2 linked regions of the Drosophila melanogaster genome follow. The protein of the gene in region 1 purifies or fractionates together with the protein of each later gene. This does not show direct contact. Each region holds a gene or a part of one and is shown on either strand. Other genes may lie near its edges.

The links. The genes of interacting proteins can lie anywhere in the genome.
Region 2: the proteins of borr (region 1) and CG31278 purify together in Drosophila melanogaster (affinity purification with mass spectrometry, with the first as the bait; one large-scale study listed by BioGRID). This does not show direct contact.

What each region holds. Positions count from the first base shown.
Region 1 is NT_033779.5:9,249,572-9,256,806, forward strand, and holds borr (borealin-related), read right to left. Parts: upstream 3,548-7,235; 5' UTR 3,416-3,547; coding exon 3,064-3,415; intron 2,780-3,063; coding exon 2,371-2,779; intron 2,306-2,370; coding exon 2,107-2,305; 3' UTR 1,901-2,106; downstream 1-1,900. Other genes in the region: aust (australin), read right to left, coding at 721-1,115, 1,182-1,437; lectin-30A, read right to left, coding at 4,589-5,260. UniProt on the Drosophila melanogaster protein: Component of the chromosomal passenger complex (CPC), a complex that acts as a key regulator of embryonic mitosis.
Region 2 is NT_033777.3:10,704,771-10,711,574, forward strand, and holds CG31278 (uncharacterized protein), read right to left. Parts: upstream 3,571-6,804; 5' UTR 3,493-3,570; coding exon 3,088-3,492; coding exon of another isoform or gene 3,077-3,087; intron 3,017-3,076; coding exon 2,705-3,016; 3' UTR 2,628-2,704; downstream 1-2,627. Other genes in the region: CG31391 (uncharacterized protein), read right to left, coding at 1-219; CG31467 (uncharacterized protein), read right to left, coding at 522-1,964; CG14684 (uncharacterized protein), read left to right, coding at 2,233-2,613; CG31373 (uncharacterized protein), read right to left, coding at 3,817-4,128, 4,286-4,564; CG14689 (uncharacterized protein), read right to left, coding at 4,906-6,369.

The DNA of each region.
Region 1 (7,235 bases):
TGAATAATTCAGTGAAAACAAGCGTATTTTAAGTCTCTATATATGTACCTTTTGCTATGTATTGTATTTTTATGTATCTGTAACTATATAAACGCGTACGACACGCCCCACTCCCACTCACATTTCACACTCAAATGGGAAACCTAAGAAACAAATGCTAAATTTAACACTATACACACTAAAAATTAATGATAATTTTTAATAACTAAATCTGTATATGTGTAAATGTAACGTTTGTCTAAGGAATCACACAACTGAAAGTGAAGTTGAAAAGTTAGGAAACCAAGTAAAGTTTCACTTGAATTTCATTTCAATGAAAACACAATACACTTTAATTTAACTAAGTACTATACTTACAAGCATAATTGAGAATGTTCACCCACAGACACACAAAACACACACATGCAACACAATAGAAAAATGTTTAAACAATTAAATTTAATGTTAGTGGAGACGGTATTCTGTACGCTATGTTTGTACTTACAAATCGATATATATATATATATATATATACATACAATTAATTAAATTTATTAATTAATTATACAACAAGAAGCAAGCAAAAAGCAGCAAACAGCAACAAGAACAACAGACACGTTCACTTAATGTTTAACAACTGAACAAAAACATTGAAAATGAGAAAATGAAAAAGACTAAATAAAATATTAACGAAATAAGCGTAATAGACGCGTTCTTAAAGTTTCCTATGATAGCTAGCAATTACGGTTTCAATTTGCCCAGTTTGTTGGCCATGTCCACAATTAATCCGAGATTGGCATTCAGTGTCTTCACCTGGTTGAGTGTGTTCTCATCCAGCTGCATCAGTACTTCCCGCTTCACGGTGTTGATCTTGTGCGGTTTCACGGTGATCACGCCGCCCCTGGTGGGAATGTGGACGTCCGCATAGCGATCCGGACGCATCTGGACGGCCAGCGGGCTTCCCGCCTTCGAGAGCACCATCTCTCCGGCGCGGGGCCATCGCACAAAGCTCATGGTGTCGCCACTCAGAGCCCTGTCCACCGAATGCGCCTGAAGCCTCGGTGGCAGGGCATTCTGCGGAGTTCGTGTTCGACCACGACTGATGGACAAACTGCGAGTTGTGGGCGGCTTAATAGCTGGAAAGAAAGTAAAACAAAAATAACAATTACTCTTCTATTGCCGACAGTTAAATTAAATCTCACCTGCCCTCTGAAATTCGGCAAAAGTCTTAAACCCGAGAGCCAAGAATTCTGGCATCTTCATTTGCAGTAGCTGCTTATCAGTCCTACCACGGATCACCTTAATTTGGTTGTCCACCTCTTGCTTGTAGCGCTTGCTCATCTCATCGATCTTCTCCAGAGCCGAATCCATTTTGATTTGGGACAGGCGCACTTTCTCTTCGCGATCAGCCTTCTGGCGCTGGGCCTGACGACGAGCTGTAATCTTGGTGCGAGGCATATTTCTAACGATTTATATATTCCAGTCAACTAATCGCCTAATTCTAACAAAGTCAAAGGGCTCTTTGGTGAACAAGCGATTCAAAACTGTATTCATATCAACGTGCGAAAATACATTTTAAACATTTTTAACATAACATAATTTTATTGGCCACTTTCTGAAATCTGGGAACTTAAAAGCGGTTGCCTCTTTTGCAATTAGCAAAAGAAAGATGTTATTTGAAGGTAGCAGTTTTTGCTAGAGCCATGAAATCCGACCATTTCATCTGCAGCAAACGAGCATCAGTCCTGGCTTGAAGCAAACCCAATTTGTTGTCCACATCCTGCTTGAACAACTTGGCCATCTCATCGACTTTATCCATTGCAGAATTAAATTGGATTCTCACTTTCTCATCTCTTTCGATTCTCCGTCGTTTTGCTTGAAGGCGAGTAATCATCATGGAACGCTTCATTTTTTTTTTTTTGGATTAAGCATGTATTTAAAACATTACATTTAAATCGCCGTACACTTGGATATGAACATGTATTGAAACTTATGCAAATACGATAGATTTTTATGAATAAAGACAAAATACTTGAACTAAATGAGTAAAATGAAAACTGAACTTAAACGAAACGTATTAAAATATATGATATAGCATTATATCTAGATAAGCGTTTGAAATGACAGCTACTTGAACACCGCCTGGCTGGCCTTATTAACAATCATCTGCAAGTTCTCGTGCAGCGTTTTGATCTGGTTAAGGGTGTCCTCGTCCAGGTTCTCCAACAGATTTGACTCCACCTCGTCGGCATCCAGTTTTTTGGGCCGCAAGCTAAGAACTCCGTTCCGAATGGGTATGTTCACATTGGCGAACTTGTCTGGCATTCTATCGTGTGGGAAAAATGGTTTTAACAAATTGGTATCGACACGTAGTATGTGATCAATACTTACACTTGAGCCACCATGGGACTGCCGTATTTGGATAGTGCCACCTCGCCGGGCTTGGGATAGCGCAGGAATGCCATCGGCGGTGTAGTTGGCGATCCGGAGCGCATTTGCTTCTGTTTCAAAGGAGTGCGGTCGGCACTGAAGGCCTTCGCACGCGAGGCCATCGGTGTGCGCAGTTTGCTGCGCGAATTGCGGCTGCTGCTGCTGCTGCTCGAAATTGACGGCGGTTTGGCCGAGTGCAATATGTTGAGATCCCCGCAGGCGGAACGACTGCGCCGCGCTCGACGAGCCCTCGCCGAGTGCAGTGGTCCGGGTGTGCGCATGGCCTTCGTGGACCGCAGCAGGGAGCCTGTGTGGGCGGCCAGGATGCTCCCACCGCTGGCACCGATGCTGCTGTCCTCTGTAAGGTAGCCTAGATACAGTGACCGGCACAGGATGTGGATGTGGGTATATGCATTTTGCGTGCATTGAAATGTGCGGTGCGGAGTTAGAAAGCAAAGTTGAGTTAGTCACAAAGCCGGACACCAGTTAGATTAAAATTAAAAGTGAAAATGGCAACAAGAGGGTATGATGAATACCGAATATACAATGGAATTTGCCAATTTGGCATGTAAAACCGGTATTCATTTGTAATTCGGGTGATGACATCCTTGCCAGCAGATTGGTATAACAGCATACATATATAGGCCAACAAACCTTCGTCATTGCGACTTCCAGTGGCGGAGGGGGCGTGGCCCTCGATGGCGCTGCCACTCATGGACATCGAGGCGAGCAGCTGCGTCTGATCGCTGGCCTTGAAGTCGCTGAAGCGGTCCAGTTCCTCGAAGAGGCGCAGCACTTCGGGCATCTTCAGATTGGCCAGCTCCTTCTGCACCTGGCCGAGCAGTGTCTTCACCTGGTGGTCCACGGCGGAGAGGAACTTGGTCTCCAGCGAATCGATGCTGATAAGGCGGGAATCCATTTTCAGCTCGTACAGGCGCACCTTCTCTTCGCGATTGGCCACCTCGCGGTTGCGTTTGGAGTTCTTTGGTATCTTGGTGCGCGGCATCGTGGCAGCGGCCTTTGTTTACACGTTACAGGGTTTTTGCGAGGAATAACTATTTTCGTAGCAAGCGTCGTCTTTTTGCTATTTCTTTTCGAGTTTGTCCGCTAAAATTCAAGCGTCATGGAACAGTGTTGCCAGATGGCTTTTCATTGCCCAGTTCACGACCGATTGAAAATACTAGAAATATTTTGATGGTGTAAGTGTAAAATGGTAACACTAATGCGCGGTAAATTCAATTAAATAATTCGAACTTAACTGAAGTCACTCCAAAATAACACATTTAAGTATATATCTTCTATATTTATTTATCTATATTTTGAATAATGAGTTTTGAATAATTCCAATGAGTTCTGCAACTAATCTCAATGAACTAGTTCCCTACAACATAGAGATCGATTTTTTTTATATCTTTATTTTTGAAAGGGGAATTCCAACTACCCATTTGTTAATAATGTAACGGTAATAGCATCTTATTATTATAACAAAATACAATATTGGTATATTAGTATTATTGAATAGTAATAATTGGAAAAACTAAAGACTTGCACACTAGAGCGTATAATAACGTAAGTGAAAACTCGAGATATAATTTTGCATCGTATGTGCGGAGGTATCTGAAATGAAAAGCCCCAAAAATTGGAGCCGCAATCCTATTAGTCCGTTTCGAAATCTCGCCCCTGGTCATAAATTGCGCTCTGCTCCACATTGTTGGATGTTTGCTATCTGTCTCTGCTAGTTGCACTTTGGCTGCCACAATGGCAGGATTCTAATAAGCGTGGGTGGCTATGGGTGTGCGAATGGCCCACAAATCAAAAGCATTTTTGTCACCATTTGGGTGGCTTCCTTGTGGAGGGGCGTGGCACTGGCCGCCCTTATTTCTGCACAGAACGTGGACACGTCATGTGTGTAAGGCATTTTGAAATACCAAGCACCGCTTTCTGGGCACTTGATGGAAACCCCATATGGATTGGCCTGGTTTTGTACTTAAGGGAAAATATTTTAATTTTCATTACCCAATAATCTTAATGATCCTCTTGGCTGAGAAAACAGTTATGTACTTCATTTTTGGGCTAGTAAAATAAAAAAGACAGTAGGCTCATAACTTTATTAAAAGCTGTCGGTAAATTGCCGAGATGCAAAATGAAAATAACTTAATTTATTATTTTCGCATTCGCATCAATCCCACTGCTCGGCTTGACATATGAACAAATGGGTGTTGAAACAATTTTCATTGTACATTTCCTTGTTGTATACATTAACGCAATCGAACTTATTGCCCCTTTCTTCTTTCTTCCACTTAAAGAACGGCGGCGATCTGCCGGTGAGTGATGATGCAAAAAGGCCGTTCTTGAACATAGCATTCATATCTATCCAAAAGACGCCGGCCGGCGCTCTTGAGAAGATCTCATTAAACTCCTGCTCATCCCTGATGGTGGCAATGTGACCGCCCAATTGACGACAGGTGTTTGAGGCGCCAAACCAATTTTGTTTGTTTTCCTTCTCAATGTAGAAGCGTCTTGTGCCCATTCTCTGGAAAAGCGCCGGATTAATCCTGTGCGAGATTCGTAGTTTCTCGAGAGTCTCCACACTCTGGTTGCCCATTATGGTCTGCAGCTCGTTCAGTGCGTATGCCAACTTGCTTTGCATGGCCATCAATCGTTCTTCTATCGATCTTTCGATCCTCACTATTTTCTGTTGCATTTCACTTTCCTTCAGCGCAATGAATGTGAACCATTGTTGTTGATTTATAGCCACTTGATCAATTAGCAGCGGATTTTCCGTTTTGTTAGCGAGAACATCACGAGAAGCCCAGGCTAGAATGACGCATATAAAACAATACTTGAACATGTTACTATGTATGACCTGCTAGTCCCAATCCTTAAAACGGACTGTTTCTGGATGTTAACATCTGTATAATGAAATAACAATCCGCATCTAAAAGCATATTAAAGCGTTGAAAACGGTTTACAACGTCTGGCAAATACATAGGTTATTCGTTCTAAGCAGGTGTATAACTAATAAAATTTATTAATACAATTTATGGCTTACCAATTAGGAAAATCTTTCTTGATACCGTACGTTCACCGCACTTTTATGATAGTCGCATAATTTCGGCCTTTTCTTAATTAAGTTGATGGGCTAGAAGTTTTAATTGGCTTGATGCTCGTTCTTGCCTTAAGCCACAAAGTGGATGAACCTAAAGGTGGGTGGGCTCTACCAAACGTCATTACCAATCGATGGCTGTGGGGAAAAGGGATATATCCGAGGCATTCATCCAGACATCTATCTATCCATCCATCCATCTATCCATCCGAGAGCAGATATTTCAGCAGCAGCAACGACAACGAAACTCAATTTGCGCCGGCCAAACGATGCGTTGAGCATATAAAATGCAAAGCGGAAGCGACGTTCATGGATAGATTACACAACTACTTACAAATGTGCGTTTAAGCACCCAACACCCACCACCTACCACCCACAGCCAGCCATATTTCCCATTTCCAACGCTTTTCCTGCGTGTCTGCAACTGTTGCATATTGCAGTGCGTGCGCTGCCTTTATTGTCCCGATGTTAATGGAAACACCTGCTGGCGGCGGAGAAGTCAGCCCCGGAGTCCGTGAACGAGTGCCAGTCATTGTCAGGGGAAATCTGGCCGGGATTGCGGGGTGAGGTTGACTGTGGAGCTGGTGGTGTACAGCCGCCCTTAAGCTGCGTCATCATCTCCATGCCGGATGACAGTAGACGGACCGAGAATGGCATCTTTTGGGAGCGCTTTCAGGTAATGCCGCCGAGAGATCCATTTTACAAAGTGCAGCCAGTAAAAGTGTTTCTGTGTCAGCTGTTGATGGTGCCCAGATGCCCTGCTAATGTAAACGTGCCACGAGGGACACAAATTATAATTATGTTGAACTCTGATACGGCATTAATGGAAGCTCCCATGCATTGATCCACCATTGTATTGATTGCTATCCAATATACCTTATAAGCCCCATTGCAGCCGTATTACTATAATTTATATTGATATTTTACCTTCATGCTTTATAATATTAAAGTTGCTTTGACTTTTCAGCATTTTTACGTTTTTAATTAGAACAGCTAGCACGTATTGAAATTGGAATACCACCACTACGTTTTAGTTTATTGATGTTAGCTTAGAAACTCATAAAAAGCGGAGAAAATGAAACAACATGTGCGTAAAAAAATGAACCCTAGGGAAGTTCTAGAACAGCAACTACCCTACGAAAAACCAAGGCAATCGTAACGAGTTTATGTCCCACCGATATAGTTCCAACCCTCCAGGTTAATGAGCCCCGAGTGGGGGAGCGGTTCAATTGAATTGTGTGCCGTAAGTTGGACAAACCCAATTAAAATTTCGACTGCCCGTTTTTCCGGCGATAAAGAAAGAATAGTGCTGGCCACCCCATTTACAATCCCCTTTGCACAGGTGTTGCACAATTCCACTCGTTCCCGGGCACTCGAAAGTGCACTTTGTACTCACTCAAAATTTACTCCAGTCTGGCGCGTTCCACTTTCACACGTTCCTCGTGGACTCAACGTGCGCCTTGGCATATGCAACGCATTCAGTCGCTTGTGGGAGGCAGTTGCATTCGATTGCCAGCACTTTCATCAGCGGAAAAGCCAGAGAGCAGCTAATAGCCGGACAAAGAGTGAGAAAGCGAGAGCGGAGAGGGAGAGGCAGAACACATTCGCTGGTTGGTCTTGGTCTTGGTACCACTCATTCGACACATTTTCCTTCAGTTTTCCCTCGGCAGCGATACCAGCCGTCGCTTACTTTTTCGTTATTCTGTTATTGCTGGCCTTT
Region 2 (6,804 bases), on another chromosome or scaffold:
GGTGTTGGACTTGGCGCGTACATACTCCTGCCGGAAGATAAGCTCCTCCTCTTGGTCGATGGTACGCAGGAACTTGTACCCATTGGTGATTATATAGCGCTCTCTTGCGTTTTCCAGATCGTTGTGCGCCTGAAAGTTGAGGCAGTCCTTCTCCGAGTCCCATGACCACTTGCCGCTGTAGTACTTTGGAGCGTAGTTATCGACATGGACTCTTTTCATCGTAGTCGCGCAGATAAACCAAGATCGGGTTGTGTTTAGTGTTTTTAAAGTGTATTTAAATTGATGTGTACGTGACGAAGTTTAGTGGAATTATGCTCATGTTTAAAGGCCTAAAGTGAAGTTTTATTCCCAAGCTCCCACCTACGAAACCCATACCCTTGATCGGATGCCAATGTCTTTCGTCTTCGTGCATTTATTATAAAATAGCAATCCATAAGTGTCAGTGCTTTAAAGCTCCGATTTTCTGTATATATAATAATATGCAAAAATTGCAATTAACGTATAAAATTAGGTAGTTTTTTTTACCGCTTTGCCTTGCCTACACTAAATCGCGATGCAATACTACTACGCGTAGATGATGCATGCTCCGGATCTCTATCCTCCTTGCGTATTTTGGACATGATCTTAAAATAGTTGGAGATGATCTGATCGACCCTTTGTCCTGAAGATGTGCTTGCCAACTCCTTTTCACAACGCGAGACTACGTTCGTGAGTAGACCTCCGGACCGAAAGAAGGCTATGTTGATGTCTCGTTTGACCCACTTGCAGATCTGATGGTGTGTGACCCGCTCATGAACCTTACAGAGCTTGTAGAAATGTTCATATTTCTCTTTCATTGTACGCATCTGAAGCTCACCTATCTTGGGTATTTGCAGGTGAGGTCTCCTGATTATATGGTACGGATCGAACTTTTCCGAGAAGTTTGAGAAGCGGACAGCCGGCCAGTCGAGACTAAGAAGCGTGTTGTAGAGGCTCTTGGGATGGCCCATGATGCCGTGCGATACATCTATAAAGCTGAGCTGCGAACCGGGCACAATGTACTCCAGCTCAATCTCGGCAATGCGGATATCGTTTCCTCTGTACTTGCGTTCGCCTATCCACAAAATGGGCAAATCCTCTTCAGGAACCAGCTTTAGCTCCTGGACTAGAGGCGATTCCTGAATTCGATAATTGTAGTTCTTTTTGTTTCTGCCGTAGAGAAGACTGCGCTCCGCCTCCGTGAACTCGAGGTATTCTGGGTGGGCGGAAACAAAGTGCTCGGAGCGGAAAAGGCGATTGATCTCCATTTCGATTACGTAATACGCCCGGCGATGCATACAGATCCAGACTATTTGGATGGCCACTGCCAGAAAATGCTCATGGAAAAACTTATCGTGGATTGTTGCTGAAATGTTGGAAATCGGCTTCATGTGGTAGTACTTGGACATATTATCCTCGCCCCCGATGATGCGGCAGTAGTTTCGTGCAACAAGCATACGATACTGGCTTAAGTATACCGAAAAGGTTCGTTTCATATCGTTGGTCTGCTCGCTCTGCACCTGACCCAGGGGACCGGAAAGCTCATCCCGACGTATAAGTATAAACTCGACCAGTCGCAAATAGTGCTCAAAGTATATAATCAGGGAGTGAAGCAACAAGTGCGTATCCCGCTCGTACATGAACTCAACGAACTTGTAGGTTAGAAATTCTGAAGGCATAAGGTAGAGAACCAAGTTTCTAATATCTCCGACCACCACAACGTCACTATAGTTGCTTTTCGGTAGCACATACTCCTGTCGGAAGATGAGCTCCTCCTCCTGGTCTATTGTGCGCAGGAACCTGTAGCCATTGGTCATAATATAGCGCTCTCTTGCGTTTTCCAGATCGTTGTGCGCCTGAAAGTGGAGGCAGTCTTTCTCCGAGTCCCATGACCACTTGCCGCTATAGTACTTTGGGGCGTAGTTATCCACATGAATGCGCTTCATTGCGTTTGGCAGTAAATAATGGTATAAATTTATAAAATCGTATTTTAGTCAAAAGCAGTGAAAAATCAGTGTCGTTACATTGAGAGTTAAATATTTATGTTCCTCAAAAAGACTGAAATTTAGATGCTGCAGCGACTCCGATTATTTAAAAGACCAAATACAATAATTTCCAAGGGCGTGATTTTTCTGTCAATCTGTATTCTCAGAATTTGTATTTTCCGGTACCACGCTGATTTAGGTGACCGGTGTTTCCCGGACTGTGCTAAGCATGTTCCGCCGCACTAATGCCGATCCGGTCATACGGCAATTTATTCTGCGCACTGCAGTCCTCAATTATCTTGGCAAGAGTCTGCGAGAGCAGTATAATGAATATTGCCTTTTGAGAACCCAGCACGAAAATATTAGGCTGAAGACTGCGAGTGATCAAGAGCTTGAGGACCTGCCGACTCTTTCCGAGCTATTTGAGATGCAACAGTTGAAGACGGCTGCCACCCATCGTCTGCTGATGCGGGAGTACCAAGAATTGCTTGCCTACATGATGGACAAGAGTGATTTGTGGGACAGTCAGGAGTACTTCAAGGCCAAGTCTGCGCTTGGGGCGGCCATCCACAATCTACGGGTTTGTGCACCCACCAAACCAATGGACTAAAACCAGTCGAGAGGAACATTTGCCAGATAGAATTCCATTCAATCAGTATATATACATACATAAATAGTGAAACGATCCACGAGCGACTTAACTACTTGTAGAAGGGTATCTCCACGCGTCCGGATTTCGTGTTAACCGCCTCCCAGCAGGTGCACGCAAAGGTTGAGCGGTCCATGTGATCGGTGTATAGTTTTCCCTCCAGGTGATCCATTTCGTGCTGCGCTATCCGGGCATTCCAACCACTCAGAGCCAGTTCGCTTTGGTTTCCTAGTTGGTCAAGGCCTGTTAGCTTTACACCTTCGAAACGCTCCACTTCGGCAGAGTAACCTCGCACACTCATGCATCCTTCTGGATGCTTCAGCTTCGCGTAGTTGGTCACCGTCAGGACGGGATTGATGAAAATCTGTAAGAAGCAAACCATTGTATTATAGGGTTTGGGCTTCCGAACACAGCTAGTTAGGACCCCAGTCTCACAGTCAGTGGCAACTCGGACATTTGTCGGGCTTGGTAAACGGCCTCGGGCAGCTCCTTTCGGATCCGTCCCTTGAACTCCATTGCTATGATCCTGAGCGATACTCCAATCTGAGGAGCCGCAATGCCGACGCAGTCGAACTTCCTTAGCACCTTGACCATCCGCTCGACGATGGCCTTAATCTCGGGGCTAGCCATGTGCTCCTTGGGCACCAAAGCCGCTTGTTGCCTAAGAACAGGGTCACCAATCTGGGTGAAATGGTTGTATGGCGGCAAGTTTGTGCGCTCCGTGGTCCACAGGTGCTGGTACCACTTCCTGAACGACTGATTAGCGGGAGGACTCGTTCCAAAGGATCGACAATGTCCCAGAATCGCTTGGCATACTTTTATCCGTGGTTTCAGGTGCATTTTGTGAAATGTTTAGCCTCCTTTAATATTCCGATCAAAATCGTAGGGAATATAGTTACACAACACGGTCATACTGGCCAGCTGACCGGCTAGGGATGTGAAAGTATGTACCTATCGATATATCGGTGGAAATAGATTTGATATTTGGCGCGCTTTTAAATATATGCTAGGTGCATAAAATACTTTTTCCCCGCACACAAAGTTTATTTCGTAAACAGCGCATTCATTTCAGAAGTGTATTTTATTTTCAAACAATATACAAATATGTTGTATAAAGCGCCATAAAAAAGTGAAAAGCTCCTTGAATTAAATGCAACCAAGTTATTACTTGTGAAACCAAATGGCGGATCGACCTTCAGCTGCGTTGATTTGCTCCCAGAGGATGCAGTTGAAGGTGGAGAGATCCATCCTATCCATGTAGATAGTTCCATTAAGGTGATCCACCTCGTGCTGGGCGATCCGTGCGTTCCAGCCCTCCAGTTCCATTTCCGACGGAGTGCCCAGCTTGCCGATCCCCCGGATCCGGACCTTATCGTACCGTTCCACCTCAGCGGAATAGCCTCGCACACTCATGCAACCTTCGGGATGCTTGTTTACTTGGCTGCTGATTATCTCCAGCTCCGGATTAATGAAGACCTGCAAGCAAATGATTTATGATGAGAAATCACGGGATTGTTGCTGCACATAAGCAATATTTTTGTATGCAGAAATTTAGTTTCTCAAATTCATACGTTTATAAAACTGCATAGATTTACATATATTTTTCGAACGCGAAAAGAAAAGCTTTACTTACGGCCAAGGGCAGTATGGACATCTTACGCTCCTCGTAGATTTCCGGCTTGAATTGCTCTTGCTTTCCCTCTCGGAATTCCATAACGATAATACGCAGCGGTATTCCAACTTGGGGCGCAGCCACGCCCACGCAATCGTAGTGACGTAACACCTTTACCATGCCGTCAATAATCTGGTTGATCTCCCTACTATCGATGTCCTCGGGCGGCACCTCTTCTGCCCTTTGGCGCAGAACAGGATCCCCAATTTGGGTAAAATGACGATATGGCGGAGCGGACATGATTCTGGTCGGAAGAAGATCTCTACTGAACCGTGTCTATCGAGCAACTACTGCACAGAGCTGTCGAGGTGGACAGATTTTGATACGATAGCCTTATCTGGGGATCAGCTGATCTGCCATTTGAAACACTGGGAACGATAAGTCTACGGTTCGCATTTTAAAGCGGAAATATATACCTTAAAAATCCAATACAATTTTTTAAAAATACTAGTAATATCCTACAATATTAGTAACAACAATATTGCCAAGCTTTCAAGATTTATAAGTATTTTATTCACGAATAAATAATTTTGAAGTATTTGAAGTCTCTTGAAAACCTAATGGATGTGTACGACCTCAAATCAATCGAAATAGTATTCCTGTGGCGTTTTCTTTTGGCGCGGCGAATTGAAGCCCCCGATCCGCGAGGAGGTGATGCTAACGTTGTCCGGTTCATATGGAGATCCCTTGCGCAGCCTGGACTTCACCTTAAAGTAATTGGATATGACCTGGTCGACCTTGGTTACCGGTACCTTTTCGGCCAGTTCCTTCTCGCACCGGGATACCACGTTGGTGAGCAGCAGTCCCCCGGAGCGATAGAACTGGACGAGCTTGTCCCGCTTGAGCCACTTCTGCAGGATCTGCACGCTGTGCGGCTCGTAGATGCGATACACCTTGTAGAAATGCTCGTAGTTTTCATTCATCTTGCGCGCTTTCAAGGCGTCGATCTTGGGAATGTCCAAGTGCGGCTGGCGAATGATGTGGTACGGATCGTAGCCAAGCGAAAAGTTTGAGTAGCGAACTGTGGGCCAGTCCAGGTCTAGGATGGTGTTGTACAGATCCTTCGGATGTCCCAGTATGCCGTGTGCCACATCGATCATACGCAGCTGTGGTCCCGGCACAATGTACTCCAGCTCCATCTCGGCAATGCGCTTGTCGTTGCCTCGGTACTTTCGCTCGCCAATCCACAGGATGGGCATGTCCTCCTCCGCCACGTGCTCCAACTCCTGGACGAGCGGCGATATCTGGGTGCGATAGTTAACGATTTTATGGTTCCGACCGTACAGTAAACTGCGCTCCGCCGGCGTAAAGCTCAGATACTCCGGACGTGCCATAACAAAGTGATCGGAACGAAACAGACGGTTCATTTCCATCTCAATGACATTGTACGCACGGCGATGCATGCAGATCCAAACAATCTGGGTCATCACGGCCAGAAACTGCTCGTGGAAGACGCGGTCGCGACTGGTATCCGAAATATTGATAATCTCCTTCATATGGTAGTATTTGGCCATATCGCCCTCTCCCTTCAGAATCACACTGTAGTTGCGGGCCACCAGGAGGCGATACTGACTGAGATAGATCGAGAATGTCTTCTTCATATCGATGGTCTGATCGCTCTGGATCTGATCGGCCAATTCGTCGCGCCGCACCAGCACAAACTCCACCATACGCAGAAAGTATTCGAAATAAATGATGAGCGCATGGATCAGACGGTGAACCGCCGGGCGGTGCATGAACTCCACGAACCGGTAGGTCAGAAAATCGCTGGGCATCAGGAAGAGGACCAGGTCACGGATGTCGTTGATCACCAAGGTGTCAAAGTCATAGGTGCCCGTATCCCGCACGTAAGCCTGCCGGAAGATAAGCTCCTCCTCCTGGTCGATGATGCGCAGGAACTTATAGCCATTGGTGGTGATGTAGCGCTCCCTGGCATTCTCCAGATCGTTGTGCGGCTCGAATTCCAGGCAATCCTTTTCGGCGCTCCAGGACCACTTGCCACTATAGTACTTCGGTGTGTAGTTGTCCACATGGACTCTCTTCATGACTCAGTCTTTTTTTGAATATTTTTAATTATAATTGTGTTTTTAAAGGTTTTTTCTGTTATGTATTTCTGTATCTGTTTCTATAATTAGTGGTAAAGTGTGTACAAAGTTAACTGACAGAATTTAAAATGAATTTTGATTACAGCATTCGCAAATATGAAAATAAGCTTTCATAAAGCATGGCAAATAACTTTTAAAATGATTATAATGTATTACATACTCGAAAATATATTTGAATTTGTTTGAATTGATCGACAAGTAAATGAATTTGCTTCTTTAACGTCTTTGGTAAAATAAATACCATTTGTTAAAGGAAGCTAAGAGTGTGGTGCTTGAAGCCATAAGCTTTAATTTATAGTCAACATTTGTATAGAAACACAGAAAAAGCTTTCATGTTTTTTATTGTGGCACTTGGGGCTCCGGATTAACTTTAGC